Canis lupus familiaris: one gene and its partner. The protein of the gene in region 2 interacts with the protein of the main gene of each other region in a pairwise test. Links are inferred from orthologs where the notes say so. Each region holds a gene or a part of one and is shown on either strand. Other genes may lie near its edges.

Region 1 (3,650 bases), on a different chromosome or scaffold from region 2:
AAAAAAAAAAAAAAAAAAAAAAAATGCTCACGGAGTCTTCGAGTGCCCCCTGGGGGTGGAAAGTGGTACTGCCTCTGTTCAGAATCACACATTCCAGGTGCTTCTGGAGAAGGAACCCCTGGTCCAGAGGAGGGAGAGGGCCTGCCCCAGAAAGCAGAAATGTATACCTATTCCTTTCTGTGCACTAGGCCCATAACCAGGCACTTCACACGTGCTAAGGCCTGCTTCGCATCGGCCAGCAGGGCAGACGCTCTGGTTATCTAGGACAAGGGAACCGGCGGCAGAGCAGATAGGGATCAGTCCAGGCTCCCACAGCTGACAAAAGGCCGAGGAAGAAGGCTCTGAAGCCATCCTCTCAAGAAGAAGGCCTACTGTGGGGTCACAGGGCTCTGACTTTGACTTCTTCCTCTCTCCAGGTGAACCCCGTGAACACCACTACCTTCCCTTTAGCCATGGGCTCTGAGCTGCACCTGTCCCTTTAGTGCCAACCCCCCCCCCCCCCCACCACCAGCCCTGAATGTGTTTCTGCTGCCTCTGGCAACCCAGGGACCTGCTGTCCTCCCCACACCTGGCACCTCTCTCACCTCACCCAGCTCTGCTGGGTCTGGCCCAGCCTGAAGCCCTCCTGCATCTTCCCTCAGGATAAAAGTTAAATCTTTTTAGTAAGATACCTTCAGGGCTCTTCAGGATTCAGTCCATCTAAGATCACTGCTATTACTACATTACACGTACATTCCTTTCCCCACAAGTTCCTCTCTACAAGGAGATGGTTCTTGGCCTGTCTTCCCCAGAATGGTAGCCCCACTCTGCTCCTTTAGGACCCTCAGGGGGCACTCACCATAGGGGCTCCGCGGTGGCCAATGAGGGCAGGCTTGGGGCCCAGGTCCTTTTTCTCCATGATGCAGGGAGAGGAGATGGTGAGAGGGGCCAGGTAGAAGGCAAACACCACGGCAAAGAAGATACAGAGAATGGCCATCTGGGAGGCTGCAGACACCGACTGTGAGTGAGGCTGCCTGGGGAGCTATTTGGCTCCCACAAGGCCCACCCATGAACCCTGGGCAGGTTGGAGGTGAGGGGGGTGGGCAGAAAAATCCACCTGTCAGGACCCAGATACCGAGGTGACCCTGCTCCACAGGCAGCCCCCATTCTTGCTGGGATGGCGAGCTTGACTTCTAACACACACAGACAGGCAGAGGAGGGAACACTCGGGGCTGACCAAGGTTGCAGCCCTAGGTGGAACTTGTCGTCCACTCTGAACCAGAACCCCTGCACTGAGAGTGACACCTTATCCCCAGGCTCCCTAGGTGATGTTCATGTGAGGGCAGGGCAAGCTGGTTTTGGTACTCAGAAGGCAGTCATACTTACAGGACCGTTCTGCACGGGCGAACTGTCCGGCCACGATCCAGGAGAGCGCAGTGATGGCAGCTAGGGCCCCCACATGCAGGAATGGTGCCGTGCCCTGGTGTGTGGGAAGGGGCAAGAGGGACCATTGGCTCCCAGCTATGCCCAGACTCTATCTGTGGGTCAGGCAACTCTATCTCCATTTTTCAGTGGAGGAAACTCTGGGTGCAGAAACCCTGAGCCGTAGCCTAGCCCCCTCCCTGCTCTGACTTGCTGTGTGGCCTAGGCCACTCCCTGCCTCCTCTGGGCCTTTGGAGAGACATAAGTGATAAAAAGGGACTGCCTTGTTTGGAAGGTCCCAAGGAAGGAGCTGTCCATAACCCCCCTCACCAACCCCACCGTCCCCCCCTCACTGCCCCCCACTACCCCTTCACCACCCCTCACCATCCCCACTCACTGCCCCCCACTACCCCCTCACCACCCCTCACCATCCCTCACTGTCCTCCCTCACTACCCCCCATTACCCCCTAACTACCCCCCACCATCCCCCACCATCTCTTATCGCCCCCCCCACACTCACCTGCAGGGAGATCAGCAGTACCTCCCACTCGTCCTTCCACAGCTGGGCTACGGCTGACATGGCCACCACTGTGGACACCAGGATGACCACCAGCCCCATCTGGAAGGGGAAGTATCCCCCAACAGAGGGTCAGAGCCAGTGTGCCTGGACAGCCTGAGCATCCCCAGTGTGTGTGTGTGGGGGGGGGGGGCAGGCAGTGGGAGAGCCTGAGAGGTCACAGAGAGGAATGGAGAGTGCAAGAGAGACCCACAGAGCAGGGAGGCACGACTATAAGGGAGCCATAAGTGACAGAGGCAGGAGAAGGCAGGGGGACCTCAAGAGAATATGGAAGGGAGGCTGGAGAGGAGAGAAGATGGGAGGCAGCTGGCGGGGAGGTGAGGCACAGCCCAGGGTTCAGCCCCACTGAGGGTGTGAGAAGACACTCGGCCAGTGGGACCTCTGCCGGCCCCAGCCTGTCACGTCCAAGGCCTCTCCTGGCACTGCCAGCACCCCTTGGGGTGAAGGGTGACTTGTCCAGACCATGGGGGCAGGAGGCTGAGAAGCCGGGTCCCCTGCAAGAGCTGATACCCCCTGGGGGGTATCAAGCAGACGTGAGGCAGGGTTCTGCCCCCAACCCCCTGCCCGGCCCCACCGCCAAGGCTTGCTCCCAGCCCCGGCCTCTGAGCTTCCAGCTTCTGTGTTGGTGGGGGCTGCCCTCTGAGCTGCCTCCCGGAGAAGGTGAGGAGCATAACCCTGAGGGAAGAGGAGACAACCTCCACAGGTCAGCGAGCTCTGCGGACAGATGGGATCTGAAACATCTCCTGCAATGCAAGATGCTTCCCCAAACCAAGTGAAGCCTGGTTTCTGACTACTCGGCCCCCAGCCCCCCTCTCAGTCCAGCCACTTTCCCCCCACTGCCAAGCCTGGCAACTTAAAGCTCAGGTCACACCTCTACCTCCAACCCCCCACCCCCATAATCAGCCCGTAGCGCCACCATGGCCTGCCCTGCTGCTGCTGCAAGCTCTCCCCACTGCCCCCACCCCTTCCTGCAGTGCCTTTTCTGGAGGCAGCAGCCTCCAGCTTCTGAGAGCCCTCCACTAACAGAAGGAGCTTGGATGGTAAGGGCAGAGACAGTGGTTGATCCATCTTTGTTCCCTGCCAGGCAGGGAAGATTCATTCCTGCCTGGGATTAAGTTTTCCTTTGGAGGTTTGTCATTCCAGCCCATCAGCCCAGAAACAAATGTTCCAATAAGAAACAGTAATAAGGCTGAGACGAGTAGGGGCCTTTATGGGCTGTAACATACTGGCCCGGGGGACGCGGGTAAGGGAGAGGCAGGTACACAGAGGGCCCATGTGCCCGGGGCCAGGGGAGGGATGTCCTGTTTTCCTCATGTTTTTTCTTGTCATGTCCCAGGTGAGGTCATTATCACCTTGGGTTTACAGATGGGGAAACTGGTGGGCATAAGGGTTTGCTTGCCCTGTAGCTTTGAGGGGGCAGATCCAGAAACAAACTCCATCCTGCCTGTCTCAGGGGTCGTGCTCTTTCTGGGCTTTCATGCTGCAGTAGACGGGGAGGCCAAGGAGTGTGCTCACCGTCCCTGAGAATCCCCCCCCCCCTCAATACCCAGGCTCCCTGCCCCTCTGCTGCCCCTTCAGGCAGGCCCTGGGCGCTGCCAATGTCTCTGAAGGGTTGTTTCCGCAGTATTCCTACATTTAACTGATAGTGAAAAGACTGATTTCCCATAATCCT
Region 2 (2,821 bases):
GATTGATTAGAAGTGCATCCTGGCCTTGATGATGACATGCAGAATGGTAGATAATTATAAAATGTTGCATGTTTGAGGACCTACGCATAAGTCAGAATTGCAGAAGTTTAGTTTGGCAACATTGAGAAAGGGATGAAGCCAGAGAGATGGCATGGAGGAACACAATGAGGGAAAACAATGTCATGGTCAGGGGTTTGCAATTTTATAGGAATAAGAGCATAGGAACCCATCAAAGGCTTTCGTAGCAGGGGAACAGAATTCAGTTTGCAATGAGAAAGGACATTTTGGTGGAAGTATGTTTATTGGATGGGAGAGAAAAGGAAAATGTTCCTAATCTTGCCTTCTTAAAGTTACTTCCACCAAGGGCTTTTGGGGTGTCTTAAGTATGTAGGATCAGAGATCTAGAAAGAAGTTTGAGGAATAAACCACTAAGCCATTCCCCTACTGTCAGACAAGAACATATGGTTGCATATCCCATGTCTTATTCATGCGCACAGTTGAGGTTGGTCATTTCTGTGTTCAAATGAAATAATGAAAGACAAACTGAAGAACCAGATTCTTAATTCTGACTTAATCTCATTTATTGCAACATGAACCAAATAAATTCTTCCCACACCTGAGTGACAATGAACAGCATTGTAAATCAAATAATTTTATGCCAAAGAGCGATAAAAAGAAAAGATAAAAATATGAAAGGAGGAGCACAAATTACGTCAGGCAGAGTAAAAAGCAAGAAAGGGCACTACTAGGAAAGAAGCAAAAGTCCACAGTTTGAATTTTTTGTCCCAGATCCTTAGCATGATTATTAACTGGAACAAGGAAGCCACTGCCCTCCCAGAGCAGAGCAAGATGGACGGCAAGTGCTGTACACATGGTTCAGAGGTTGGGATCCACTGAAGACAGGACGCAGAGGTCTGAGGCTGCTGGGTACAATGCTCAGTGTTTGAGGACCACAGGGCAAAGAACCCAAGGGGCGGCATCCATAAGTGAAGAGGCTCAGGGGTCGGCCACTGTTGGACACACAGGTCAGAGGTCTAAAGGATACGGGGAGGCAGGAGCCAGAGACGTAGGAAACAGCAGGAAGAAAAGTGGTTCCTTGGCAGGGTCTGGACACGTAGTAAGTAGTAGAAGGGTAGCAAGATGTTTCACAGTTGTTGGGCTCACAGTGGCCTGGCTGACAGCTGGTTGATTCACTGCAGGTCTCCTGGCAGTTGTCCAGAGGCTGGGGATGGTCTTGACAGTTAGTAGGCAAGCAGACGACATCACCACAGCTCACATGGGTAGAGCAGAGGGCCACGGAGGAGGTGAGAGGAATATGGCAGGGATTTCTGAGAGATCCCAAGCTGTAGTTGGCAGAGCAGTTGTGGCAAGACATAGTGAGGTTTCAAAAGCAGGCTCTCGTTGAATGGAAAGAAGTGAGTGTCCCCCCTCATTTAACTTGATCCCTTATATATCCCTGGAAGGTGGTGATTGGGAACGCAGACTCTCTTCCTCCTTGTTGTAGGAAGCTGCATCAGCACTCTCTATTATAGCCCTGAAAGGGGAGCTCCCACCTCCCATAAACCTGGATGTTCCTTCTATGGATTAAGTATATCTATAAAGAAGTGTGACTGAATTTTAATAGGATCTCTCCTTAAAATATCCAATCAAAACAGGTATGTCTGAAGGTCATTCATGTAATCCAAGTATAACCACCACTATGTAAACGTTCTTAGAATTCCTGTCTTGGAATTCCCTTTAAAAGTTGTAGCAAAACTCTCCGGGAGAAAAAAAAAAAAAAAGGCGTAGCAAAATTCTTTGAAACAGTGGCAAATTCTTTCTCTTTGAGGGGAAATTCTATTCTTTTTGGAAATCGCCAATAGTAAGAAACTTGAATACAAGTATTTTGTAAAAGGATGTGGAAAATCTATAACCTAAAGATGTGGAAGATCTATAACCTAAATGATTTGGGGCAGAAAAAGTTTAAAAGCGGTATAACACAGAAAATGTCAATGTGCCTAAATTTATGCTTTGCTTTATTTTTAGAATCCTGGTGGAAATGGCTTCCTACCAAAATATTTTTATTTTAAAAAGCGATACTCATTTTATGCATTTCAATAAACAGAGTCATGCTGAAAAGCTTGGTTTATGTTTAAAGTATTCTTACTATAGAAAAATAAGATGATTTCAGTTGAAAATATAAATACTACTGTGAACAACAGCAAGTAAACAACACCCCTCAAAGAAAGTTGAACAGCATGACATTTTTTTTTAATAGTTAGTATAGGTTTATATATTTCATGCTTACTCATGTTCCTAACAAAAACTAATGTTCTTGATAGAATAAAAAAAGAAGAAAGAAATGATGATTAGGACCTGGAAATGGGTTTGGTTTTGCTTCTTACATTGGTTCTGATGTCAATTTCCAAAAAAAAATAGCTTCTAAACTGCTTTACATGGGAAATAACATCATATATATATATGAAATCATCATATATATAGCATTAGTGCTTTCAAGGCTATTTGGGAATATATTTTCCTGTAAAAATTGGTTTAAAAATGCTTCATTGTATTTAGCTTCATCCATTCCACTGTATTTTTATATATCAACATATCTAGTGGCTCTAGTGACTACTTTAACAGGAATTTTAATTGCCTTGCTTGATCTACTTTCCAATTCCCTTTAGCTAAAAATTCAATGTAAATCACAATTTCTTCCATTTTAATGTTCAATGGATACACCCACACTTAATAAGTCTCCCTCCATCCAGGAGGAGCCAAATCTCTGAAACAGAAGATTGGTTTCTCTATGAGCCAATATAGGACTATGTTTGCTACCAGG

Evidence for each region. The genes of interacting proteins can lie anywhere in the genome.
Region 1: the proteins of KRTAP26-1 (region 2) and GDPD5 interact in a two-hybrid assay, tested with the Homo sapiens proteins (2 studies listed by BioGRID and IntAct). The two-hybrid records come from large-scale screens. The link is inferred for Canis lupus familiaris from reciprocal best matches to the Homo sapiens genes KRTAP26-1 and GDPD5.

What each region holds. Positions count from the first base shown.
Region 1 is NC_049242.1:23,254,140-23,257,789, reverse strand, and holds part of GDPD5 (glycerophosphodiester phosphodiesterase domain-containing protein 5), read right to left. Parts: intron 2,021-3,650; coding exon 1,922-2,020; intron 1,460-1,921; coding exon 1,366-1,459; intron 985-1,365; coding exon 839-984; intron 1-838. UniProt on the Homo sapiens protein: Glycerophosphodiester phosphodiesterase that promotes neurite formation and drives spinal motor neuron differentiation.
Region 2 is NC_049252.1:25,722,942-25,725,762, forward strand, and holds KRTAP26-1 (keratin-associated protein 26-1), read right to left. Parts: upstream 1,402-2,821; 5' UTR 1,376-1,401; coding exon 806-1,375; 3' UTR 592-805; downstream 1-591. UniProt on the Homo sapiens protein: In the hair cortex, hair keratin intermediate filaments are embedded in an interfilamentous matrix, consisting of hair keratin-associated proteins (KRTAP), which are essential for the formation of a rigid and resistant hair shaft through their extensive disulfide bond cross-linking with abundant cysteine residues of hair keratins.